Linked DNA regions of Macaca fascicularis. The protein of the gene in region 3 binds, or shares a complex with, the protein of the main gene of each other region. Links are inferred from orthologs where the notes say so. Each region holds a gene or a part of one and is shown on either strand. Other genes may lie near its edges. The genes, in order: PHF12, KBTBD4, HDAC2, CDK2AP2, DNTTIP1, HMG20B and CDK2AP1.

Region 1 (3,500 bases), on a different chromosome or scaffold from region 3:
ATACCTCCTCAGGGAAGCCTTCCTTCCGGTGTCCCACACCCCCTACTCTCCCAATCCTCCTTCACTCTGCCTTCTCAGCACCGCTCCTCTTGGTGTGATACTCACTGGCCCATGATGATAATGAAATTCACAGGGACACATCCACAGGGCTTGGCTTCCTTCTACGCTGGTCCCCTCCCCTGCTTTAGGGTAGGCTCCCTCTGCTGTGCCTGTGACTAACCTCAGGAAAAATGGTAGCCCTGCTCCTGTGAAGCAGGTACCCCTGGTAGGATGCTGTTTTACATCAAGACTGTCCTCCTCCAGGAATGACAGGGAAGAAAAGGAGAGGACTCCCAATCCCTCTTCCCTCCCCTCAGGGCACTGAGCAAAAACCTACTGCTTGGGAGAGGCCTTAGGTTGGGAAAGCTCCCTCCCACCGCATCTCCAGCCCTCACCTCATCGTAGAATATGCAGGCATGTTTCCCGGACACGTAGTTACAGTGACCATAGTTTGTAAGGCACACATCCATGTCAGCTCCTGCAAGATGGCAGGAGTAGAGGAAAAGGAAGGCAGAGAACAGATTGTAAGGTGCATGTGTCGGGGAGGTGAGACAGGGAGGGAGTTAGCTTCTGGGTTGGCACTAGCAGAGACTTCAAGGGTGAGTAGCTCAGGGCCCTCCCCTTTTATTTTTGAACAAAAACTGATGTCTTTTCCAAGCTCCTGATAAAGAACAGCTGTCCCTGCCAGCTGATCTGCTTTAGAACATGTGGCTGCTACCCAGAAGGGAACAGTGAGCTACTGAAGAGGATGGGATATTTCTATGAAAATACAACAAGAGGGTGCAGAGCCTAGAAAATCATATCACCTTAAAGAAAGGGAAGTTTCTAGGGTAAGGACTAATCTGTCTGTCCTTCTGTACCAGATATAGAACTATCTGTCTCTAGGACTTCTAGGGAAAACAAAACAAAACAAAAAACAGATACAGGGCTAACTGAAGATTGGGTATGTGTGAGCCTATCACTCTTTCAAAGACCACCAGGGACAAAGCATCTGCCTTCTCCTTGGGTTCTTCCCCGCAGTGTTTAAAGTGCCTCCCTGGGCAGTAGTCAGAGCTGACTTTCATCTCTGCTGATGCAACACTGGGCAAAGACAAAGCAAAAGGGCCTGAACAAGGGAAGACAAGGAACTGATCGTCTCTTTTATTTTTGAGACAGGGTCTCACTCTGTTGCCCGGGCTGGAGTGCAGTGGCATGAATAGGATCACTGCCTTGACCTCCCAGGCTCAGGTGATCTTCCCACCTCAGCCTCCCAAGTAGCTGGGACTATAGGCATGTGCCCAGCTAAGTTTTTTGTATTTGTTTTTGGTAGAGATGGGGTTTCACCATATTGCCCAGGCTGGTCTCGAAGTCCTGGGCTCAAGTGTTCCTCCTGCCTCGTCCTCCCAAAATGCTGGGATTATAGGCGTGAGCCACTGTGACCGGCTGATTGTCTCTATTCTTAATTTCTCTTGTCTAGCTATCCACTGGTTTAAAGCAGTCAACTCTGGAAAGGGCTTCCCTCACCCCTTTCTAACTTCTGTGGGTAAGGGTATCAGTCTTTAGGGCTGAACAGATTCAGTGTCTCTCCCAGCTTCCTGGCTGGCTCACCTGTCCCGATGTAGAGGGTTCGATAGCACATGTTCACAGCTCCTCCCAACCCTAAGAGGGGGTAGAACACAGCTCGGGCCTGTACCTCCTTTCTTTGCACTACAAGACAAACATAGGAATAGGATCATTCAGAAACTCAGATCCTGTGATCCAAACATAAACCAACAAAATCTGGACTTTTGGCTCATGGCCTGGAGAAAATCCCGCTGGATGACTCATCTTTCCAAACTCACATCCAACACTGAGCTGCTGCAGGGTAGACTTTCTCTCCCCACCCACAGCATTTCCAACACAGGGTGCAGAGGACCATCTTTGAAGATAGTCAGAGAAGTCAGAGATGACAGTACTCTGTAAGTTCCTGGGCTCCTGGTTGGCTAATCTGGGATATTCCAGCTGGTACTATAGGGAGAACATGGAAAAACAGACCGCATGGACCAGTGTTTCTCAAACTTTAATGTGCATATGAATTGCCTACATATCTTGTTGAAATGCAGATTCTGATTCAATAGGTCTGAGGAGGGGCCTTAGCTCTGCATTTCTTTTGCTGTTTTCTTTAAAAATAGGCAAAAAACCAATGCACTGAGCTCTGCATTTCTAACAAGCTCTCAGGGGCTGCTGATGCTGCTGGTCTGGGAACCACACTTTGAAGCAGCAAGGCTTTTAATGGCCAGTGCTCAGACATACCTGAAACAGAGTTAACCACTTGGGGAAAATTTCCAGAAGGCTGGCCTACGGTTATTCTATTTCTCACCTTGAACTTGAAAAGTTCCTTCTTGGGAAGCCATTCTTTTAAAAATTTTATTTATTTATTATTTATTTAGAGACAGGGTCTCACCCTGTCACCCAGGCTGGAGTGCAGTGGTGCAATCATAGCTCACTGCAGCCTTGACCTCCCAGGCTCAAGCGATTCTCCCACCTTAGCCTTCCAAGCAGCTGGGACTACAGGTGTATGCCACCATGCCTGGCTAAGTTTAAAATTATTTGTAGAGATAGGGTCTCACTGTGTTGCCCAGGCTGGTCTCCAACTCCTGGGCTCAAGTGATCCTCCCGCCTCAGCCTCCCAAAGTGCCGGGATTACAGGTGTGAGCCACTGCACTCAGTCGGAAAGCCCTTCTAATTCAAATATTTGAAAGCAAGTAAGCAGAAAGTACACTACATATACCCAAAGGTACTGGTAGCTGCTTTGCTGTGTCTCAAAGTGGACTTATATATGAAAGAAAGTTACAGCAGACTTCCCCAAGTCTGATAAGAAAGCTGTGGTTGCCATCTTGTTCCTGCTCTCTTCAGAAAAAAACCATGGTGCTTTATTAAGCCCATGAAAAGCACACAAGAAGATTTGAATACTGGAAGCTCAGATTCTCCATGGAGGCAAGGTGACCATTCGCACACGTAGAGGGGAGATCTGATGATGTGGTGACAGGTGTGTACATGCGCACCTTCTGTGTGGTGCCCTCCAGAAGCCAGCTGATGTGTCCCGACACTGCCCGGTGAAGGTTGGACCCGGGAGGGGAAAAGCTGATGTATTCTCTGCAAGGCCAGAAACTTGATCAGCTTCTCGTCCAGCATATTTATCTCGATTTCTATTAGCCAAAGAGAAAGATTAAAAAGCTGCTGAGATGGAAGTGGAATGTGGAAGCAAATCAGGGTCACAGAGCAAATAGTTCGGCATTTCTAAAATCCAGTCAAGTAACTTTTACTTAAACAGCATTGAGTACAGAGCATACAAGGATCTGCAGCTGGGCATTTCACTTGCTATTTGCAGTGAGATGGGTCCCAATGCAGCCTGTGCTGCTGCCTCCTGTAGTTGGGTGAATTGATTTTAATAGTGCTCCTAGAACGGCAGAGTGGAATAAACCACTTGCCTGTCTGTGGGG
Region 2 (2,882 bases), on a different chromosome or scaffold from region 3:
CCACAGGGCTTAAGCCCAGACTTGACATAACCAAAATGTGCCAATAGGTAATAGGTAATTTTGCTTTCTCTGTCTTGTTTCATTTTCTTGAAATAACACTGTTGTGTGGCTAGAAAGGAAAAGATTTAGTGTGGCTTGTATTCATGGGATACAGGACAGGGATGGGGCCATCTTCTTTTCTTGAATAGAGCTAAAGAAGTATTTTAACAAAAATCTATTATTATGTACCTAATATTGTGCCTAATAATATTTAGCACCACAACTCAAAAGACTTAGCACTAGAAAAAAGGAAACTCAGCTCTGGGTCTTTGCCACTGTCAGAATCTGAGTGTCACTGGCCCTGTGGAGTAGGGATCCTGTCTGGAGAAGTGGGAGCATGGGCGCAGTCAGGACTGCTGCAGACTGAGCCATGTGATGGTACGTAAGGAGTCCCCCTGAGGGAATGAAACACTCTCGCCCCTTCAAAGTCACCCCTTCGGAATTCAACACAGACACACATATCCCTTCAAAAACTTTTATTTGTATCAACACTTCCTAGCTCTTGACTTAGCTTAGAGCTTTTAAAAGAGCAGACACCTTACATATTTGAGTTTGAAAAAGTTTCTGCTATTAATCAGAAATAATCATTTCTATTTTCTGGCTTACCCCTTGGAATAAGCCAAAAATAAAACCAAAGTTACATTTCCTGACAGATGGATGAGAAAACAATAGAAGGAACGTCCTGAATTCTAGAGTTGACTCTTGCTGGTGAAGTACACCTTCAGCTTAGTCCATACTCCTAAGTAAAGCCCGAAGGAAAACTCTTAACACCTAATTCTTTGTGGAAAAATGATCAACTAGCCATTTCATAGGTTATAGAACAAAAGTACAATTGGGCATCTTTCCTTATGTCCTGGGATCAGGGGTGCTTATATTTAACATTGATCAGGTAAAGAGGAGAGGCTGTGCCTAAGGTCTGAGAAACAGCTTGCTCTAAAGCAAGCTGTGGTGAGGCACACAATGACTAGGGGATGGCAGAGAACAGGCTGGCCTACTGTCAGTTCAAGCAACCAGCTGAGCAGCAGCAGTCTAAAAAGCCCCAAACAGAACACCTCCATGGGTTCAGGGAAGGGCTGAGGCACTGCCTTTCTAGTATGTGCCAAAAAATACATTACTCTGAATTGGGGCCCGGGGGACTTTGAGTTTGGATGGGGAGGGAAAAGGAGTGAGCAGCTCTCCTCCCCTCCCCACAGCCTTAGGCCAACACAAACTGCAAATTGGTAAGCAGCACCTTAATACCTCTTGTGACAGTTACGGCTGAAGTGGCAGGGTCAAGCTTGTAGGTGTTGGCATCCCCCTTTTTATATCGGTCCCGGAAGACATAGATGCTCCCATTACAGCTGGCAATCTTCCAGAGGGATGGGGCAGAGCTCCAGGCCTCAGGAAGGCAAAGCCGGGTGAAGCTGTCTAGCAAGGGATTGTAACATACCAGGGAGTCCCCTTCAGCCACGATGAACACCAGATCTTTATGCACAGCTGCGTGCATGTGGCCTGCAAAGGGCAGCACATAGGGCTTCACATGGCATTTGTCTGTCTCTGTGTCAAAGCACTGGATGAGTCGGGAAGGTTTGGTAAAGAAGTCCAGATCATTCTCCTCCCCCCCCAGTAAGTAGATGATCCCGTTGAGGTTGGCACCAGCAGCCCCTGACACAGCCACCTCTAGCTGGGTTGTCTCTGTCCACACATTATCACCTACGCGATAATAAATGACTGCATTGGAGAGGGTATCTTGCAGTGTCTTGCCACCCAGTGAATATATGGCATCTTTCCCGGGCACAGACACCAGGGTGTGCTGGAGCCGGTCCCGAGGCAAAGGAGCACACCACTCCCAGTCAACGGTGGCATTGTTGCACTTCCACATGCGCCGTGGGATGGACCCTCCCACCACATACAAGTCTCCACCATGCTTGCAGGCCGCAGTGATCTGGTGGCACAAGCTGTTTTGGCCACTTACACTGATGGAGTCATCTTCTGCACAGTGCAAGGACACAGCCAACGAGTGGGTACGAGATGACTCTTTCCCAATCAGGTAAATGTGCACATTCTCCCCAATTTCCTATTGGCAAAATTAAAATTATATGACAGCTGTTAAGTTCTAGGCTAAGGCTCTGCTAAGACACATATCCTTAAGATCCCGGACTTTACACCTGTACCTAGCTTTAACATACTACTCTCTAATTACTGCATGGCATCCAACTGTCCTCTAGTCACTTTCTTTGAGGCAATTTATGCCGGGAGGAGAATCTTGTATTCACCCTTGTAACTTTTAAAACTCTCATAAACTGGTGCTTTGGACAAAGGGTGATTAAGATTGTTAACTTGATGAAAGTAGTTCTCAAGGAACTTTGAGAGCTCATAGATTGGTGGTTCTGGGGTTACAAAGACATCCTTCTCCCCAGCTTACATCAACTTCAAGCCAGAGATGACTTATTCAAAAAAATAATAAATAAATATAAAAAATTAAAAAAACAGAGATGGCCAGGCGCGGTTGCTCACACCTGTAATCCCAGCACTTTGGGAGGCTGAGGTGGGCAGATCATCTAAGCTCAAGAGTTCGAGACCAGCCTGACCAATATGGTGAAACCCTGTCTCCACTAAAAATACAAAAATTAGCTGGGCGTGGTGGTATGCGCCTGTATTCCCAGCTATTCGGGAGGCTTAGACAGAATTGCTTGAACCCGAGAGGTGGAGGTTGCAGTGAGCTGAGATCATGCCATTACACTCCAGCCTGGGCAACAGAGTGAGACTCTGTCTCAAAAAAAAAAAGAAAAAAAAAGCAAAAACAAAAACAGATGACCATTCATAACCTGGCCATCAAAAAGAGACCAGGTTAGGTCAGGCGC
Region 3 (3,500 bases):
TAAAGAGCGTATAATAGTATAGCAAAATTTCTTCACAAAATTTAAAAAACAGAAATGAGGCTGTGATCAAGGTAAAGTTTCTGAGTGGCTCATGTGTTAGATAAGCAAGGAAAGCTGTGCACCAAGTCAATTTATTAAATCATGTTTGATTACACCACCCAAAAAAATTGTGTCCAGAGAAATTAAAGTTGTTTAAAACTATTAGCTGAGTGGGCAAGAACTTGCTCAAAGAGTTGAAGACACTGGAACCAACATCAACAGTCAATTAAAACACAAGGCAAATGATTGCAAATGATTTTCCTTTGCTCCTGATGAGCTGACAAGATGTTACACTGATCCTGCTCAATTACTGTTTATTTGAGGAGTCAGTATCAATTTTCAGTGACTGAAAAATCAGCCTCTATGGATAGCATGCATGGAATAACTACAAGCAAAAAACAGCTCAGTACAATATAAAGTAGAATCTGCTAAGATGTGTCATAACTGATGGCAAAAAATAACATTGCAAATGTCCACATTCATAAGTACCTCTACAGATCTCTCTCTCTCAAACTGCAGCCACAGCTAAGGAAAAATAACTCCTGCAGCAACTCAGAGATAATTTTATATCCATCAGTAGAGAACAAAGCCTCATTCACATATGGAAGTTAGGCAGTTAGACTAACTCAACAGGTAAACAAATTTCCTTAAATACTGGTTTCAAATTTTTGTCTTCAATTTACAATTTACAAAATACTAGAACATAAACTTCCAAGGTCATTGTCATTTTTTATTAGTTGAAACTAACTAAAATGAAAACTGCCAAACTACTTTTAAAAAAGGATATTTAATGGGAGTTTTGACATTTACATACACTTCTAATTCTTTTTTTTTTTTTTTTTTTTTTTTTGAGACAGAGTCTTGCTCTGTAGCCCACGCTGGAGTACACTGATATGATCTTGGCTCACTGCAACCTCTGCCTCCCAGGTTCAAGCAACTCTCCTGCGTCAGCCTCCTGAGTAGCTGGGATTACAGGCACGTGCCACCATGCCCAGCTAATTTTTGTGTTTTTAGTAGGATGGGGTTTCACCATGCTCGTCAGGCTGGTCTTGAACTCCTGACCTCATGATCCACCCACCTTGGCCTCCCAAAGTGTTGGGATTACAGGCGTGAGCCACGGGCACCCAGCCTTTTATACACTTCTAATTCTTTTTTTAAGGTAGGATCTCACACTGTTGCCCAGGCTAGAGTGTAGTGGCAGGAACATGGCTTCCTGCAGACTCTACTTCCTGGGCTCAGATACTCCCACCTCAACCTCCTGGGTAGTTGGGACTACAGATGCATGCCACCACATCTGGCTAATTTTTTTCTTGGCAGAGATGGGGTTTTGCCATGTTGCCCAGCCTGGTCTCAAACTCCTGGGCTCAAGAGATCCACCCACCTCAGCCTCCCAAAGTGTAGGGATTACAGGCCTCGGCCATAGTGCCTGGCCACACACTAACTCTTAATAATTGAAGATTTGGGCAAACTCCCTGCATTTCTTCATTGTTTTGTAATGAATTCCCAGAAAATTCACCATTAACTATTTCAACCTATGGCTTACCTGATTTTTTTTAAGCCACAGACTTTTATTGTGTTTTAATGAAAACATTTTATCACTGAAAAAAGTACCAATATAAATTAACATACTTTAGTAATTCAAGGATGGCAAGCACAATATCATTAACATAACAGAATCCTGATGCTTCTGATTTCTTAGCATGATGTAATCCTCCAGCCCAATTAACAGCCATATCAGTCTGTTGTCGGTTTAACTTCACGGCTCCAGCTAAGAAGTAGAAACAAGGTAGACTTTTTAAATATTTAACATAAAAAATTAGTACAACGAGACGAAAACCCTACAAGTGTATGCCATGCATAAGAAAGAGCTTAAAATCATAAAACTTAACAAAAATCATCTATGACATAAATAGGAGTTTCTCCTTAGAAAAACATTCTCCCAGAGCTGCGCCCTGAGATTAAATAATGGTTTATGTAGATGGTGGTACTAACAATGATAGCTAGAAGACAAGGGGGATGAAAGAAGTCTGTAAGTGAAAAATGTAAGTTACAAAAGTATTTAAGTCACAATAACAAAACAGAGGTTTGAAAGCAAATTGTACTGTACTATAAACATACTGATTTCCTTTTGTTATCAAAATTCACAATCATTAAAACTCCTGCTTTACACAAATAACCTGGAAGATACACACCAAATTTAGAACAACTTTTAAATCTGATTGTATTAGCACTTACCAACTGAACCACCAGTTGAGAGTTGACAAAACTCAAAGAGTCCATCAAACACTGGACAATCTTCTCCAACATTAACTGTGGAAGATGGATTTCATTAATTTCAACACACTCTGCAAATTAATGAAAGCCTTTTCTTACAAAAACTATTTCCTACAAATACTTTTTTTGCTTGATGCAATCATCAAACATACACTTCACAGTGTAATATAAAGTTTACAACTTTAAAATATATTTATTGTTTTATCCAAGGTAATTACAGTGTTATCTGTGAAAGATCATCATCAAATCTTATCAGGAGTATCTGTGGAATATTTCTGGTCTATTAACAAGAACTCAATAGTTGTCTATGCACAACAGTTCTCATTTAATTAAAACACAGGCTTAAATTTTCTAGACCTTTCCCCTTAATATTACAGTAAGTTAACATTCTAAAAGTAACTTCAATTGCTGTATGATTTACTTTCTTTAAAACTCCTTAAATACGTATTAATATCTGTAACTTTGAAATGCATGTCAGGAAGTTACTAAACCAAAAAGATGTAACAGCTGGTTGCCTATTTCCGTGGCTAATCTTGATCTTGAAAGCTTGTAAGAATTAACTAGGTTCATGGGAGCCAAAATACAGAAGGACATTAAAGACAACAAGGAAAAAACATATACAGATAAATAACACAACATCACACATTTAGTTCCTCAGTATTGACAGAATGAAGGGGATATGGCAGACATATATAACCCTTTCTTAGTCTTTCCCTATGCCCTTGAATTGTAACCTCTTCAAGAATAAGGGTCCTTGTTTTATATATTAATATCTTTGTACATCCTTAAGTCACAAGCACTATAAGAAATACATTTTAGTTTCTTACTGCTCAGATAGATCATAATTTTTTTTTTTTTTTTTTTTGGATACAGAGTCTCACTCTGTTGCCCAGGCTGCAATAGCGTGAGCTCGGCTCATTGCAACCCCCACCTCCGGGGTTCAAGCAATTCTCCTATCTCAGCCTCCTGAGTAGCAGGATTACAGGTGCATGCCACCACACCCAGCTAATTTTTTTGTACTTTTTTTAGTAGAGACAGGGTTTCGCCATGTTGGCCAGTCTGGTTTCGAACTCCAGACCTCAGGTAATCCACTCACCTCGGCCTCCCAAAGTGCTGGGATTACAGGCGTGAGCCACCACACCCAGCCAGGATCATAAGCTTAATATAAGTCATTATTATGCAGGTTT
Region 4 (3,032 bases), on a different chromosome or scaffold from region 3:
AGCCTGCTACAAGGTGCTGGGGTAGTGACAGCAGCAACCGGCCAGCCCCTCCCCTTGACTGTGAGGCCAAGGGCTGGAAGCAGCAGTGCCCGTTCTCTCTGAGGAGTCAGAGACCTTCAGGGCTGATTCAGAGGCTGGGGTGTTGTCAGGGCATTAGGGCGTTTGAGGGAGTGGCTTACGTGAACTGGCATTTCCATGCTGCCAGGCATCACCGCCAATCCAGAGGAAGCGCCCTCCAGGCCCAGGCTGCCCATAGCGCCAAGGGCTGTGGAAGCAGCCAGGCCCTGTGCTGCCCCCTGGTGGCACCACAGGAAGGCCCAGGGCTCTCAGCGCCACGGCTGGGGCGGAGAGGGCCCGGTTCCCACCTGAGGCTGATGGCCCACAGAGGCAAGTCAAACCCTGTTTAGTCACACCCTCCCCACTCCTAGTCTCCTCTTCCCCTTTCTCTGCCTGGCCCACCCAGGCTTAGCTGAAGAACCAGACCCAGAAAGGCTCAGAGCTGAGAGCACAACTCCAAATCATCTTTTATTAATATAAAAAGGGCATATTTAGCAAAAGACACACAGATAAAAGAGTCACTATGGCTCAGGACACAAGGCAGTGAGGTGCCAGGCCTGAGCCCCTGCTGGGGGAGAAGGACGCTCGGGACAAAGTGGGAGAAGGGCTGGGAAGGGCTGAGCGGTGGGGACCACAGAAAGTTCCGGTGGGCAACACTGTTGGCAGGTCATGGGTGGGACTCATGGGGACCTCGCTGCTAACTCTTGTTGTGGGGGGATGTCCTTAGTGCTGCCACCTGGAGAGCCGCTCCTTGGTTCCTGGAGGGGACCCACCAAGGGACACAGGACAGGAAGCCCAGGATGGTTAGTGCAACTCGGGATGAAGGCCAGGGAGAAGCGGGTGCTCTGCAGTGGCCGGGAAAGGTCCAGACGCTGAGGCCGGGGCGCTTCCTGTTACGTGCGGGCGTTCCGCTCTGTCTCTGCCAGGCACTCTCTGACTAGGGCCCGAGCATGGATGATACCTGGTGGTGGGGTGGGGTCTCAGCAACGCTCCACAGCCCCACCCACTGCCCTCCAGAGGAGGACCCCTGCCTCCCCACTCCCTTTCCCCTTTCAGCAAGAGAAATTCCAAACTAATGACGGCTAGATGAGATTAGAGGTTTGGTTAATCCTCAAGGTTGCCCTGTAGAAGTACAAATTCCCAGGCTCTTCCCTGGAAATGGACGCAATTTCAATTCGATTCAAAACACCTCTCTGGGTAGTAATACTGGCCCTCCTCTAGGCTTGGCTCAGGTGGCCTCCGGATGTCTTTCTTTCCCTAATGGAAGATAGTCCAGTGTCGGTTTCCTAAGCAGGGCGGCCTGGCCTCACTTACCTCTCTTCAGGCGCTCCATGGCGCTCTTGCTGCCAGCATATGTGGGCCGGATCTCTTTGCCCATCTCCTCTATGACTGACAGCAGGTCCGTGTAGGTGCTCTGGGAGCCCTGGGCGCCGGGTGGCTTCATCGCCTATGTCAAAAGAGAACAGGGCAGTGAGCTCAGGCACCTGGCGGGGAGGGGGACTCCAGTCCCCATCCATAAGCAAGCCTTTGGCCCCACTCACCTGCACGTAGCCCATGGAAGGCGGTCCAAAGTCGTTAAACAGCGGTCTAAAAGGAGCGGCGGCTCCTGGCACTGAGCCCGACGGCGACGGGACGCTTCCTGCAGCAACAGGCGCGAGTAAGAGGTCAGCGCGGGGCAGGGACGCCGCCTCCCAGCTTTTCCAAGCCCAGGACCGGGTTCGCCCGATTCCCTCCAAAGGATGCTTCATTCCAGGCTGATCAACTTCAGGGACAAATCCCTCCCACTGCGCTCCACCTACAAGCCCTTACGTGACCACGCCCACTTCACAGGCCAGCAAACTGAGGCTCAGCGAGGGTAGGCGGCAAGCCCAGTATTGCAGAACTCAGGCCGTCTTCTCTTCGAGACCTCGACCGCCCGGCAGGCGAGCAGGGGTGGAGCTGGATCCTCACCTGTAGGGACCGGGGTGCCCGGCCCAGGGGTGCTGGAGCCAGGGGTGCTGCTGGGGGCAGGGGCGATGGGTTTGTAGGACATCCCCAACTCCTGGGCGCGGCGGACGCCAGCCGGCCGCTCCTCGGGGGTTGGCTGCCGGGCCGCTCAGCCGCGCTCTGATTGGCAAGCGGGCTGCACGCCCCTGGTAAATAGAGGTCTGGCCGGAAGGGCGAGCGGGCACGAATGCTCCCTCACTCCCGATTGGTGGGCGAAGATGTCACTCGAGCCTCCTTATTGGCCGAGACCTGCCCCAGCAGGTCGCAACCGCCGCCGATTGGCCTCCGCCTTCCGGACCTCGCACCTGTCTGCTCCGGATTGGGCGGTGGCCACCGCCCTCCGCAATTGGCGAGTTCGCGGCCCGGGCCGGCGCGCTTTCAATCCGATTAGTCCCCAGGCCCTAGAGGCGGGGCCTCGGGAACCCGGACCCGGGGCTGGGCCGCCGGTTCGCGCCGAGGGGGTCTTCCCGGGCGCGGGCGCCACCCTCGCGCCTCACTAGCGCTGCTTCAGACGTCTGCTCCGCTCTGCCCAGTTTCGGCCCAGCAGGGGTTGCTGTCGCCGCTGCCGTGGCCGCTGTCACCGCTGCCGTGCGCGCTTCTCTGCTCCGGGGGCCGAAGGACGCAGGGCTTTGACGTCCCGAGCCCCGCGCCCCACCCCGTGCGCTTTTACGTCACTTTTCACCGGTTCAACACCCTCTCCCCGATCTGCGCATGCGCCCGCCCGAGGCCTGCGTTTGTTCCCATGGCAACGGGCCCTTCATCTATGCCGCCGCGCACCGTTCTTCCTGAGGCTTGGCTTGTCCTCAGGTCCAAGGGCGACCTCAAGGACCCCTTTGCCCTCACCCCCAAGGCCCCGCGCCGCTGCCTCAGTTAGTGATAATGGCCGTAGGGCAAACAGGGATTACTTGTGTGCCGGGCACCGGACCAAATTGGTCAAGAGCACAGACTGGAGCCAACCGCCTGGGTTCGAATCTCAGTACCACCCCCAC
Region 5 (4,088 bases), on a different chromosome or scaffold from region 3:
CCTCCCAAAGTGCTGGGGTTGCAGGTGTGAGCCATTGTGCATGGCCCCAATAATGGTGATATTATTAAACAACTAATAGAAGTACTTACTGGACACTTGTTATGTCCTAAGTGCAGTGCTCAGCACAGTACATTTAAGTCATTTCATCCTTACAAGAAGTCAGCAAAAAAAACAAAAACAAAAACGTGACAGTGAGTGACAAGGGCAGATTTAAAAAAAAAAAAAGATATCTGAATTACCCTCAAGGAAGGGATAAAATTCTTGGGGGATTAAAAATTTGAAAGCTGGCCGGGCGCGCTGGCTCACACCTATAATCTCAGCACTTTGGGAGGCCAAGGTGGGCGGGCAGATCACTTGAGGTCAGGAGTTTGAGACCAGCCTGGTCAACAGTGAAACCCTGTCTCTACTAAAAATACAAAAATTCGCTGTGTGTGGTGGTGGGCGCTTGTAATCCTGGCTACTAGGGAGGCTGAGGCATGAGAATCGCTGGAACCTGGGAAGTGGAGGTTGCACTGAATCGATATCATGCCACTGCACTCCAGCCTGGGTGACAGAGTGAGACTCTGTCTCAAAAACACAAAACAAAACAAACAAAAAAACAAAAAAACAAAAGGAAAACTTTAGATATCTGTGTGTAGGAAAGAGACGGACTGGTGATGCAAGGAAGGACTGGGCTCCTCATGAGTCTTTCCCGTTATTTTTTATCCTGTGTCCCTCTCACCTTCATGTACTTGTTGAAGACAGTCTGGATCTCCTCATTGATGCTAGGCTGCAGGACAGCTCGGAGGAGATCCATAGAGATGGCAGGATCTGTGAAACTGCATTCAGGAGGGAGACAGGGTGAGGGGGCATGTCCGAAACATATTCTTTCTCACCTTGCCCAGTCAATTATGGACATAGAATTCTTTAACAATACTAGACAACTTTTACTGAAAACTAGCTACATGCTCAGATTTTGTTCAAATCACAAAGGCATGACTTTATTTCATTCTCATAACTCTATGAAGTGGGTATTATTTTCAAAGTTTTTTTTTTTTGGACGGAGTCTCACTCTGTTGCCCAGGCTGGAATGCAGTGGTGTGGTTTTGGCTCACTGCAACCTCCGCCTCCTGCGTTCAAGCAATTTTCCTGCCTCAGCCTCCCGAGTAGCTGGGATTACAGGTGTGCACCACCACACCCAGCTAATTTTTGTATTTTTAGTAGAGACCGGGTTTCTCCTTGGTCAGGCTGGTCTCAAACTCCCAACCTCAGGTGATCTGCCCGCCTCAGATCCCCAAAGTGCTGGGATTACAGGCGTGAGCCACTGCACCCGGCCATCTTTTTGTATTTTTAGTAGAGACAGGGTTTCTCCATGTTGGTCAGGCTGTTCTCAAAGTCCTGACCTCAGGTGATCCGCCCACCTCAGACTCCCAAAGTGCTGGGATTACAGGCGTGAGCCACTGCGCCCGGCCCAAAGTGTTTTTATGAAATATAATACTTATTATACAGAAAAGTCTATACACTTTAATGAGTAATTACAGTGAACATCCAATTCACCACTACCAGCATCCCAAAGGCCCACCTTGTGCTCTCTCCCTTCCCTGAGATGGATACTATTAATCCGTCTTTATAGTTGAGAAAACAGGGGCTCATCAGAGGCTGCATGAGAACACAGTTGTCTGACTCCAGAGCCCGTGCTCTTAAACTCCATGCTAACTGACCTCTTAAGAGCCCTCAATCACAGAGCCAGTGAATGTGAGGGGTCTTAGGTATTTTTTATTCCCCAACCCATCTCCTGTGCCCTTCCCCATTTCGTGAGTTCAGAGAAGGAAGTGACTTGACTAGCTCAAGATCACACAGAGTTACAGGATCGGAGTCTCCTCTTTCTCAGTCCTGTGCTCTTTCTACAGGCTGTAGATCTCCATAGTCTTGTGCACTGGGGATCCCAAAGCTGCCATGCAAGCCAGTGGCTGGGATACAAGTCCCATGCAGGGCCAGCCTTACCTTGTTGTCATCTGTGAGCGGCGGCCCCTCCGCTGCACCTGCCGGTGCTTTATCATTATGTTCCAAGGGTTCTGTGGGGACCAACGGAACAAATGTCACTGCGGCCTGTGACACTGGCGTGGGGTGGAGGTGGAGGGTGGGTATGAAGTTAAACCTAAACATTCCTGCTTCTCAGATCCGTCACCATCTCTCCCGCCTTGGGGTATCGGGGGAGGACAACAGTTGGAAGGCCCCCTCCACAAAAGAGGAACTGAGGAAGTTTCCTGCCTTAAAAGTCCCGACCCTGCCTTCTGGCACGGCAGGAGGAAGGGAAGCAGTGTTTACCGAGGGTCAACTCTGTGTCAGGTGATGTCCTGGGCGCTGTACCCGCCTTTATCTTCCCATCCCACAACAACTTTTATGAGACAGGTACTAATCATCTCCATTTTATAGAAGATGATCTGGGGACTCAGGGGGTCGACAGAGCTGGCCCACGTCACCTAGCTAGGAGGGCGGCACCAGAATTTGAATCCAGGTCGTCGGGCTGCGAAAACGCCAACCCCCTCTGCAGCTGCAGCCGCCGCGTTCTCGCCCGCGGGCCAGGGTCCCGGGAGCCCCGAGGCCCTGCCCGGCCCGAGCCCAGACCTCACCGGGGGCGCCCTCACCGTGAGAACCAGCTGCCCCGCTGCGCCCGCATCCCCCAGCTCCAAGCCGCCCCGCTCGGCCCCGCTGGGTCCCCGCGGCTGCTCGGCGTCGCCAGTGGCTCCCATGGCGCCCCAGGCCACCACAACTTCGCCGGACTCTGCCACCGGCCGGAAAGTGGCGCCGTGACGTCACTGAGGCGCGCTGCTCGTCCGCCCGGAAGCGCGACGCAGGAGCTGCGGGGTTACCATGGGAACCGAACCGCCGCGCCTCGCCCGGGACAGTTACACTTAGACGCCTTGTGGTTGGAGGTCGTTGGGGCTTCCTCTCGGGAGGGCTGCCCCTCGATTGTGGAGTGTGGGTGTTCAGTGGCGGTTCAGTCAAGGGACGTTTCCCGCTGGGCCAAGGCCTGTGGATGACTGCGGGGTAGGAGGAGGGGAGCTGGTTTCTGTAGGCTGGGGTTGGGGAGCAGAGGGAAGTGTTTGGTGCAGCGACGCCTGCAGTTCAGTGTTTGAAGACTAGATTTTAATATGCTGTGCCAGGGGCGGTGGCTCATGCCTGTAATCCCAGCACTTTGGGAGGCCGAGGCGGGAGGATCACTTGCAATCAGGAGTTCGAGACCAGCCTGGCCAACATGGCGAAACCCCGTCTCTACTAAAAATACAAAAATTAGCCGGGCCTGATGTTGGGCGCCTGTAATCCCAGCTACTCAGGAGGCTGAGGCAGGAGAATCTCTTGAACCCAGGAGGCGGAGGTTGCAGTGGGCCAAGATCACGCCACTGCACTCCAGCCTGGGCGACAGAGGGAGACTGTCTCAAAAAAACAAAAAACAAAAAGCAAAAAAAACAGGCGTATTAGGCACATGTTAGGTCGTCATCAAATGTTAATTATGCCGAGATTGTGCAGTGAGCCGAGATCGCGCCACTGCACTCCAGCCTGGAGGACAGAGGGAGACTCTGTCCCCCCCCCCCCAAAAAAAAAAAAACCATATTAGGCACATGTTAGGCCATCAACAAATGTTAATTATCTCCATGAGCCAACATCAATCTTATAACAATAAGGGCAACTTCCTGGCTCCAAACTTTTTCATCCTATTAGGGAGGTTTTAACCTTGTACCTGCCCATAGGACTAAGCAGTGCCAGTGGACACCATTGGGTATCACAGCTGACCAAAGGCATAAAGAGGACAGATAAAGAAAAAAAGAAATAGAGGAAAAAGAAATAAAGGTGGTATATGTAGGCAGACTATCTGAGTCATACATAGCAACTGTTCTCTTGAGTTCTGCCAGCTAGCCTTCATACAGTCCAAGAATGGCCTGTGTGGGCTAGAGGGACAAAGATGTAGGTGTTTGGTGCTTTTTCATTAGTTCTTAACAAACTCAACTACTGCCTTTCTGTAGGTTTTTGATAGTTTCTCCCCCCGCCTTTTTTTTTGAGACAGAGTCTCACTCTGTTACCCAAACTGGAGTGCAGTGGCATGATCT
Region 6 (4,013 bases), on a different chromosome or scaffold from region 3:
GCCAGAGAGGAAACCGACTTACGGAGAAAAAAAAAAAAAAAAAATCAGAGGCGAGGGCCTGGCTGAGCAGGTGACATTTGAGCGGACTTGAGGAAGAGGAAGGGGGCTGGGCGCGGTGGCTCACACCTGTAATCCCAGCACTTTGGGAGGCCGAGGCAGGTGGATCACGAGGTCAGGAGTTTAAGACCAGCCTGGCCAAGATGGTGAAACCCTGTCTCTACTAAAAATACAAAAATTAGCCAGGCGTGGTGGCAGGCGTGTGTAATCCCAGCTACTCGGGAGGTTGAGGCAGAGAATTGCTTGAACCCGGGAGGCAGAGGTTGCAGTGTGCCGAGATCGAGCCACTGCACTCCAGCCTAGGCGACGGAGCAAGACTCCGTCTCAAAAAAAAAAAAAAAAAAAAAGAGGAAGTGAGCAGCCCCCAACTTGGGTCTGATCCCCCAGAGCGGAGCATCCTGACCCAAGTTCACCAGGTCCTTGCAACCTCCCTTTACCACCATCTTTCCCCAAATACTTCCAGCCTAGCTCCCAACCCCACCCCCTGCCTGACCCACACGCCGTTCTCAGCTTCGCAGCATCCCAGCCTCTATGCCCTGGACATCGTGCGATGTCCCCATTGCACAGGAGGGAAAGCCCAGATCCCACTGGGAAAGCCGCCCCTGTGGCCAGAAGCCCTCGGATCCGGATGTCGGGGGTTCTAAACTGAATAAATAAATAGGAAACGTCTCCGATAGGTTTTGCAGGATGTTAAGAACAGGTCCCACCTTGTCCTAGGGCTGGGGGCTGCCTCACAGGAACTTAACCCTAGCACCTCCGTCCCCATGGCAACCGGGGCGGGGCCCGACCCGGATCCGCCGGTCTCGCCATCCGGCAGCTGCTGGGAGTATCGCCCTCAGAGCGGGAGGAGGAGTCGGCGCCTCACCTACTGGCCCTTTAAGAGGCTCCGCCCGGCAAGTCCGCCACGCGCTCCCGATTGGTCCCGAGCGCGGCCGAGCGCAGCCGAACTTGACGCACCGCCCGCCGCCTTCCTTACCAACCTCCCACGCGGCTCAGCAGCCTCCCCAGCCAATCGCCGGTCGGCGCGCCGATCGGTATCTGCATGGGCACGCCCCGGGGGAAGGCCTCACCCAATGGGACCGTTCGCCGAGGCCTCATTAGCATGCCGGGGGCGGGGAGGGGCGGGGCAGTCGGCGGGGGTGGGCTGCGGGCGGTTGGTTGGAGCGTCGCGCAGTCGGGAGGTCCGGGAAAGTTTCTTTGGAGGTGAAAACAGCCGCGGAACTCCGGGCCCTGCGAGGGGGCGGGGGTGCGGGGGTCCCAGGGCCGGGCCGGGGTCTTTCCTGGGCCGGAGGGAACCGGCCCAGGCCTCCCGGGGGGCAATCGCCCAACAAAGGATTCTTGGGGCGCCCGCCCTCGAGGACTTCCCCGCCCCCGGATCCGGCCCCCCCAGCGCTCCGGGCCCGGCATCCCGGGGCTCTCCATCACGGGATACCCCAGTTCGCGGTCCGCCATCAATCAGCCCAGGCGCTACTCAACTCCGCCCGCGTCCGTGTTCCAGGTCCGGCCCGGAGCAGCCATGTCCCACGGCCCCAAGCAGCCCGGCGCGGCCGCCGCGTGAGTGCACCGATTCCCTCCCCACGCCCTCGCTACCTTCCCGGCTGCAGCCCTAGCTCCTGAACCCCCGCCCCAATCACCCCGGCCGGGGTCTCGACCGCCCCCAACCTGGGTCAGGGGGCTTCTCCCTCCATCCAATCCTGCATACCCCACCTCGGCCTCCAGCCCCTCCCAGGAGCCCCGCTTGTCCCACCTTCCGCGGATACTGACCCCATCAGACCCTGCTTCCTCGGGCTCGTGCACTCTCGCAGCAGCCCCGTCGTCGGGGGTCTAAAAGCCTTGGGGTAGGCGTTTGGGGGAGGGGAGGCTCTAGGGACGGGGCTGACCTCTGTATCCTTGGCTCCAGGCCGGCGGGCGGCAAGGCTCCGGGCCAGCATGGGGGCTTCGTGGTGGCTGTCAAGCAAGAGCGCGGCGAGGGTCCACGCGCCGGCGAGAAGGGGTCCCACGAGGAGGAGGTGAGAGTCCCTGCGCTGAGCTGGGGGAGGCCCCGGGCTGCGGCCCCAGCCTTGAAGTCCCGCCCCAGGCTGGATTTGAATTGCTTGTGGCTCCGCCCACAGCCCAGATTTTCCTCCGGAAGCTGAGACCCCGCCCCGTGCGAGCTGCCACGCCCCTGACAGGTCCTCTGCCTCCCTAAGTCCAGGCCCCGCCCACCACACAATGCCAGCTCTGCCAACTCTAAGGTCCCGCCCACTTCCACTCCTTGGGGGCGGCACCCTCCCCATGGTCCTGTGGGCCCTTTCTCCAAGAAGCCACGCCCACCAAGCAGAGGCCACGCCTACAATCTAAGTAAACACCACCCCTGTGCTCAAACCTCGGCCCATAGTCTCTGGGATCCCCTCATCCCTGGCCAGGGACCCCTCTAAACCACCGTGTCCTGACTCCCGACTGGGCCCTACCTCCATCTCTTCCGGGTTCTTCCTCCCAACTAGGCCCCGCCCCATCCCCGCCCATACAGCATTAGGCCCCGCCCATGCCCCTCTGAGCCCCGCCCCAGTACGCCAGGCCCCCCTCCCAACGACGCAGCCCGGTTCTGCAGCCGGTGAAGAAACGCGGCTGGCCCAAGGGCAAGAAGCGGAAGAAGATTCTGCCGAATGGGCCCAAGGCACCGGTCACAGGCTACGTGCGCTTCCTGAACGAGCGGCGCGAGCAGATCCGCACGCGCCACCCGGATCTGCCCTTTCCCGAGATCACCAAGATGTTGGGCGCCGAGTGGAGCAAGCTGCAGCCAACGGAGAAGCAGGTGAGCGGGGCGCTGAGCAGGGCCGGCGGACCCCCGTACTACCAGTAGCCCCGACCCCCAAAGGATTCCACGTGCAGGGCTTTTCCTTCTGCCTGGTGAAATGCCCACCCATGACCAGTTTTTGTGTGTGTGTGTGTGTGTGTTTGTGTGTGTGTGTGTGAGATGGAGTCTTGCTCTGTTGCCCAGGCTGGAGTGCAGTGTCGCGATCTCGGCTCACTGCAACCTCCACCTCCCGGGTTCAAGCAGTTCTCCTGTCTCAGCCTCCCAAGTAGCTGGGATTACAGGCGCCAGCCACCACGCCCTGCTAACTTTTGTATTTTTAGTAGAAATGGAGTTTCGCCATGTTGGCCAGGCTGGTCTCGAACTCTTGACCTCAAATGATCTGCCCACCTCAGTCTCCCAAAGTACTGATATTACAGGCATTAGCCACCATGGCCAGCCCATGACCAGCTTTTGGGGGCGCGGCTAGCAAGAGGCAAGACAGATCGAAAACTGGGTGACCAACAAAGATATGTCTAAGAAGTCAGGATAAGGCCTGGATTTTTTGTGAAATCTGATTTTCATATACTGTTAGTTTAAAAATTGCAAAAACATCACGGAAATGTAACAAAACCACCACCGCTTTGCACCCCTGTAAGTGAAATTTCAAAGAGAAAAACGGGTGCAGGAGGGAGTCTAGGTATCCACATACCCTGGAGGTTGGGTGCCTGCCCATGACTCTGGCGCCCAGGAGTGTCTTGTCAGGGCGGGAGTTGGGGATGAGCCTGGGGCATGGGAAGTGATGTGGGAGCTCAGAGGTCCTTGAGCAACAGGCTGAGGAGCCGGTTCTGTCTGTCTGGAGGGAATAGGGAACTATGGAAGGTTCAGGAGAGGGGAGGGTGCTGTGAAAGCTGAGTGATGAAGACTGGGTCCTGGCGTTAGAGGCTTCCCCTGCCTCAGGTCTTTTGGTGCTGTTCCCTAGCGGTACCTGGATGAGGCGGAGAGAGAGAAGCAGCAGTACATGAAGGAGCTGCGGGCCTACCAGCAGTCGGAAGCCTATAAGATGTGCACGGAGAAGATCCAGGAGAAGAAGATCAAGAAAGGTGGGAGGGGTCAGGCGCGGTGGCTCACGCCTGTAATCCCAGCACTTTGGGAGGCCGAGGTGGGTGGATCATCTGAGGTC
Region 7 (4,173 bases), on a different chromosome or scaffold from region 3:
GGCAGGAGGGGCGCTAGCCACTTCCCACGCACCCTCGAATCAACTCGGTGTGCCCCCGTCCTCTTCCCCAACTGCTTTGCCCACTGCTCCTCACCTCTCCTTTTCTGTCCTCCCCACTGGACTTGGCGCCAGCCCCAGCTGTGCCACTCCTGGCTGTGTGACCTCAGACAGGCCCCCCGCCCTCCAGTCCTCAGTTTCTCCATTTGTTAGAGGCAGTGCTTCCCAAGAGAAGGTCTACAGGCTCCAGACCCTACTATTTGATGATACTGGGGTTAGGTTTTGCGGGGCTGAGAGGAAGGAGGAATGAGAAATTGTCCCATTTTGGCTGGGGGGACGAGGAGCAATAGCTCGGTGACTCCAATGCTCTGTCCAGGCCAGTCCCTTGTTCAGGGTTGGGTGGGGGGTGTCTAGTCCTGGAGAGAGATGGCGGAAATGCCCCGAGTTCCACTCATGGTCACTCCTTCCTGCAGACACAGGGACCGGGACACAGGGACCACGTCAGCGCAGGCCGTCTCGGCGCATCTCAGACAATGAGCGCAGTGTGCAGGAGCGAGGGGTTGGCAGAGGCCAGGAAGCTCCTGGGGCCAGGCGCGGCTCCCCGCCCCCACGCCAGACAAAGAGCGCCGGGGCCTGGGGAGCTGGCGGCCTTCCCGCCACTTGGGGCGCCTGGGGGGCTCTGGGGCGGGGGAGGCGGGGGCTTTGTCTAACTCCGCCACTGCCACCACCGGCCAGGCCGCGGCTTGGCAACCCGTGAGCAGGAGGCAGGGCTGCAGGGCGTGAGGGATGATGACAAGGAAGCCGGAGGAGCAGCGGCAGCAGCGGAGAGTCCATCTTGGATGCAAATGGCAGGAGGGGAGCTGGGGTTCTGCAAAAGGGTCCATGGGGGAGAGGGAGGGGCACCAAAAAGCCCAGATCTGGGGATCTCGGCACTCCTGAAATTCTCCACAGGAGAAAGAGAAGAAAAGCTGAATACAGGTGCAGCCAGCTCAGAACAGGACTTCAGGGGTCCCCGTGAGTGCCGCTATCCCTGTGACCCCAAACCCTGAAGGTCCCAGTTTAAGGCCCCGGCCCCAATGACACCAGGTCAAGCCTGAGCTGTCAGCCTTGCCCAGGCTGGCAACACCAGCCCCTGCCCTCCCCACAGGCCAGAGGAAGAACGCTGCTGGCAGTCCTACCTGGCAACAAAGCCCGTCTTTGTAAGGTCTGCGGACCCCAGAGGAGGTGAGAATGTTTGAGAAGAAAACAGTGGCTGTTTGCTCTTTGGGACTCCGAGCCCACAAGTGAGCAATTCAACTCTCCCTCAGCACCCTGACGATTAACCCTTTCCTGCCCCTACACCTCAGTGTCCAAGGTTTTTTTAAATATCGTTTTTATGGGTCCTACTTCGGATGTGGGAGGTTTATGAAGTCAACGTTTGCAAACAAGGCCCAAAACTCGAGCAGGAGAGCCAGCGTGGCACCGGTGACCAACGGGGCCACTCCTTTCCCTCCGAGTCCTTACCCCCCACGCCCCGCAACACAACCGCCTTTTGGGAAGTCTGTTTCCGACCAAGTGTCAGAGAAGAGGGGCCCCAGTGAGGTCACAAAGCCCGGCACCTACCAATCCCTCAATGTTGCGCCCACTCCCCATGGCTCCCTCGGTCCCCTGGGCTCAGCCCGAAGCTGCCTGACAACTTCTGGAGGAGTTTCCTGGGAGCGCCCGGCTGCCGCCGCAGCCCCAGGAAGGTCGAGGGGAGCCCCTCCCGGCTTCTGCATCGAGGGCCTTCCCGGATCAGCCCTGGGGGCTCCCAGATGGGGCGTCCGCGTGACCCCCTGCCCCCACGCCCGCGCGCGGGCCCTAGCAGCCCCAGGACTGCGCCAACTTCGTTCACTCCGCGCACACCTTACGGGGATCCCCGCGTGACCGCATGGGGCAGTCCCTGCTCCCACGCGCCCGGCCGAGGCCCCCCGGCCTCCGAGTCCGCTGCCCACCGGCGACCCCATCCCGGTCCCAGTCCCGGCGGCCCCACGACCTCAGGGCCCGCGGCAGCCCCGCAGCCCTCCGCCCGCGCCGGCCCGCGCGGGGCCTGGCCCTGCCCGCAGCGTCTCCCGCCCGGGCCGCTCCACGACCCCGCTCCCCAGGGCGGCGGGGCCCCGCGCCCCGCGCCCCGCTCCCCGCTCCCGGCGCGGCCCGGGCCGCTCCCGACTCCCGCCGGCAGGGGCCCTCGCCGAGCCGCCCAGAAGCGGGAGGAAAAAGGAGACGAGAACAAGCCTCCCCCGCCCTCGCCCTCGCCCGCCGCGCTCCCTGCGATCCGCAGCCGCCGGCGCGGGGGTCACCCCAGGCCGCCCGCCCCGCACCCCCAGCCAAGGCCCTCGGCGTGCGGGGCGCACCAGCGAACTTTGGCGGCGCGGGCTCGGAAATCATGGCGGCGGCAGCGCTGCCCCGGGCCGGGACCCTGAGCCCCCCGCCCCCGGCCTCCGCGGGCGCCCACGGCATCCCCCGGCCGGGGCTGGGCGCGCGGACCCCCAACTTGGCGGCGCTCGGGGCGCGTCGCACGCGGCTCACTCACCGGCGTTGAGGGCGGCGGCGGGCATGTGCGCGGCCAAGTTCGGTTTGTAAGACATCCCCCCGGGCGGCGGGCGCGCCGGGCGCGGCGGGGCCAGGCCGCGAGGGCGGCGGCGGCGGCGGCGAGGCCGGGCGGCAGCGTGGCAGCCCCGCGCCCGTCCGAGCGCCCGCCGAGCGCCCGCGCACTTTTTGTTGTCGGCGGCTCGGGCCGCGCCGGCAAATATGGCCGTCCGCGCCCTGCCGCCGCCGCAGTCTCACCCAGGCCCCGGGCGCGGCGCAGGGGCGGCCGCAAACTTTCCGCGGAGCCGGCGGGGCGGCCGGGGCCGGGAGGGGGCGGCCCGGCGTCAGGGGGCGGCTCCGCCTGCGGCCGCGCCCCGCGCCTCCGGGTGCGCTCGGCGCCCGCAACTTGCCAAAGTTTGGGGGGCTGGGGTCCCGGCGGCGCCTGAGGCCCGCGCGCGTCCGGGCGGCCGCCCCGCGCCGGGCGCTCCAGGGGTGCACTGGGGGCCGCCCCCGCGGCAGCTGCAGGAGGCCAGGGCGGCCGGGATCCGAGGAGCACTTTCTTCCCCTTGACGGTGGGGGCAGGGATGGAAAATTACCTGGAGAAAATGGTGGCGAGTGGTGTATTTAAGCACGTAGATCATTCCAGACGCCCGGGTCTGGCCAAGCCCCAGGATTCGAATAACTGATGCTTGACATTGATTTCAAATAAATTTCATGTCCCTGTCTTTATGAAGTGGTTTTTAACCCTTTGGGGATCCAAGACTCCTGTGAGACTGACAAAAGCTAGAGGCCTTCTCCACCCCTCATCCCCCTTCCCGGAAAACTCACCCCTGAATCGCACAATTTCGTGCGTAGACTCACTCCAGTATTTAAGGGAAGCACCTACTATGCGCCACTCACTGTTCCAAGCGCTGAGGATACAAGAACTGAACTTGGCAAAGTTTCTACCCCCTGGAGTTTTACGGGGCAATTTAAATCTTCCTTCGACCCCACCCCCAGCCCATCTTCGGATCTGATTGAAATGTAATCATCGAGTGTATTTTGGATTTGGATTAGATGAATAACCTAAAGGTTGTGGGTTTGTTCTCTTTTTTTTCTTTTTCTTTTTTTTTTTTTTTTTTTTTTTAATTTTGGAGTTCTGCCGAAGTAGTAAAGCTCGTTAAAATACATAAGATGCCCACCCTTTTCTGTTGTTTTTAATCGCCATGGTTTGCAGATTTAATTAGACACAGCCGTGCAAGCATCATCTCCGGATCTGGTAACAAAAGCACCCACCTAGGGATGCCCACCCAGGCCTGCCTTCTCCTTTAGGACCAAAGGTGCAGGCGACGACACCCCCTCCCCAGCTTAACCCCCACCCTTGAGATCAGCTGTAGACCAGCACTAGCGAAGGATGCTCAGTGAAACCTTATTCCATGAATAAATTAATGCCACCCATGTGGCTGGTCCCAGGCGCCTAGTCCTCTAGAGCAGCACTGTCCAATGGAAATAGCATGCCAGCCACATAAGTAATTTTCAATTTTTCAGTAGTCACATTTGAGAAAGTAAAAAAACACCGGTGAAATTGATTTTAACATGTTTTATTTAACAATAGCTCCAGAACAGCATGATTTCACTATATAATGAATT

Evidence for each region.
Region 1: the proteins of HDAC2 (region 3) and PHF12 are in contact, whole or in part, in a cryo-EM structure (PDB 8BPB), measured with the Homo sapiens proteins. The link is inferred for Macaca fascicularis from reciprocal best matches to the Homo sapiens genes HDAC2 and PHF12. Residues at the interface, in NP_001518.3 of Homo sapiens: Gln27, Tyr202, Gly203, Leu212, Arg213, Pro228, Met229, Arg230, Thr356, Glu358, Tyr359, Lys362, Ile363, Arg366; in NP_001028733.1 of Homo sapiens: Met21, Gln25, Met298, Asp299, Cys300, Leu301, Glu302, Pro303, Pro304, Leu305, Thr306, Ala307.
Region 2: the proteins of HDAC2 (region 3) and KBTBD4 are in contact, whole or in part, in a cryo-EM structure (PDB 9GGM), measured with the Homo sapiens proteins. The link is inferred for Macaca fascicularis from reciprocal best matches to the Homo sapiens genes HDAC2 and KBTBD4. Residues at the interface, in NP_001518.3 of Homo sapiens: Gln27, Gly28, His29, Pro30, Asp100, His142, Gly150, Phe151, His179, Lys201, Gly203, Glu204, Tyr205, Phe206, Gly208, Asp231, Gly269, Asp270, Arg271, Leu272, Gly273, Cys274, Tyr304, Arg307, Asn350, Met351, Thr352, Gln354; in NP_060565.4 of Homo sapiens: Cys290, His291, Ser309, Arg312, Arg313, Trp326, Pro329, Pro331, Arg332, Asp333, Arg334, Thr355, Gln357, Ser361, Ala363, Val373, Trp374, Thr375, Glu376.
Region 4: HDAC2 (region 3) and CDK2AP2 share a complex: the UniProt entries of both Homo sapiens proteins name them as parts of the nucleosome remodeling and deacetylase (NuRD) repressor complex. The link is inferred for Macaca fascicularis from reciprocal best matches to the Homo sapiens genes HDAC2 and CDK2AP2.
Region 5: HDAC2 (region 3) and DNTTIP1 share a complex: the UniProt entries of both Homo sapiens proteins name them as parts of the histone deacetylase complex. The link is inferred for Macaca fascicularis from reciprocal best matches to the Homo sapiens genes HDAC2 and DNTTIP1.
Region 6: HDAC2 (region 3) and HMG20B share a complex: the UniProt entries of both Homo sapiens proteins name them as parts of the BHC histone deacetylase complex. The link is inferred for Macaca fascicularis from reciprocal best matches to the Homo sapiens genes HDAC2 and HMG20B.
Region 7: HDAC2 (region 3) and CDK2AP1 share a complex: the UniProt entries of both Homo sapiens proteins name them as parts of the nucleosome remodeling and deacetylase (NuRD) repressor complex. The link is inferred for Macaca fascicularis from reciprocal best matches to the Homo sapiens genes HDAC2 and CDK2AP1.

What each region holds. Positions count from the first base shown.
Region 1 is NC_088390.1:34,392,910-34,396,409, forward strand, and holds part of PHF12 (PHD finger protein 12), read right to left. Parts: intron 3,207-3,500; coding exon 3,063-3,206; intron 1,726-3,062; coding exon 1,627-1,725; intron 518-1,626; coding exon 435-517; intron 1-434.
Region 2 is NC_088388.1:18,265,441-18,268,322, reverse strand, and holds the end of KBTBD4 (kelch repeat and BTB domain-containing protein 4), read right to left. Parts: intron 2,096-2,882; coding exon 1,235-2,095; 3' UTR 501-1,234; downstream 1-500. UniProt on the Homo sapiens protein: Substrate-specific adapter of a BCR (BTB-CUL3-RBX1) E3 ubiquitin ligase complex which targets CoREST corepressor complex components RCOR1, KDM1A/LSD1 and HDAC2 for proteasomal degradation.
Region 3 is NC_088378.1:17,995,119-17,998,618, forward strand, and holds part of HDAC2 (histone deacetylase 2), read right to left. Parts: intron 2,350-3,500; coding exon 2,275-2,349; intron 1,808-2,274; coding exon 1,669-1,807; intron 1-1,668. UniProt on the Homo sapiens protein: Histone deacetylase that catalyzes the deacetylation of lysine residues on the N-terminal part of the core histones (H2A, H2B, H3 and H4).
Region 4 is NC_088388.1:6,866,904-6,869,935, reverse strand, and holds CDK2AP2 (cyclin-dependent kinase 2-associated protein 2), read right to left. Parts: upstream 1,830-3,032; 5' UTR 1,806-1,829; coding exon 1,599-1,805; intron 1,505-1,598; coding exon 1,372-1,504; intron 1,019-1,371; coding exon 951-1,018; 3' UTR 501-950; downstream 1-500. UniProt on the Homo sapiens protein: Acts as a component of the histone deacetylase NuRD complex which participates in the remodeling of chromatin.
Region 5 is NC_088384.1:101,822,109-101,826,196, reverse strand, and holds the start of DNTTIP1 (deoxynucleotidyltransferase terminal-interacting protein 1), read right to left. Parts: upstream 2,801-4,088; 5' UTR 2,733-2,800; coding exon 2,628-2,732; intron 2,055-2,627; coding exon 1,984-2,054; intron 819-1,983; coding exon 722-818; intron 1-721. UniProt on the Homo sapiens protein: Increases DNTT terminal deoxynucleotidyltransferase activity (in vitro). Also acts as a transcriptional regulator, binding to the consensus sequence 5'-GNTGCATG-3' following an AT-tract.
Region 6 is NC_088393.1:4,289,502-4,293,514, forward strand, and holds the start of HMG20B (SWI/SNF-related matrix-associated actin-dependent regulator of chromatin subfamily E member 1-related), read left to right. Parts: upstream 1-1,213; 5' UTR 1,214-1,303; intron 1,304-1,555; 5' UTR 1,556-1,573; coding exon 1,574-1,611; intron 1,612-1,937; exon of another isoform or gene 1,938-1,957; coding exon 1,958-2,066; exon of another isoform or gene 2,067-2,113; intron 2,114-2,168; exon of another isoform or gene 2,169-2,647; coding exon 2,648-2,851; intron 2,852-3,812; coding exon 3,813-3,933; intron 3,934-4,013. UniProt on the Homo sapiens protein: Required for correct progression through G2 phase of the cell cycle and entry into mitosis. Required for RCOR1/CoREST mediated repression of neuronal specific gene promoters.
Region 7 is NC_088385.1:130,400,111-130,404,283, forward strand, and holds the start of CDK2AP1 (cyclin-dependent kinase 2-associated protein 1), read right to left. Parts: upstream 2,801-4,173; 5' UTR 2,604-2,800; coding exon 2,549-2,603; intron 2,206-2,548; exon of another isoform or gene 1,882-2,205; intron 1,279-1,881; exon of another isoform or gene 1,176-1,278; intron 1-1,175. UniProt on the Homo sapiens protein: Inhibitor of cyclin-dependent kinase CDK2. Also acts as a component of the histone deacetylase NuRD complex which participates in the remodeling of chromatin.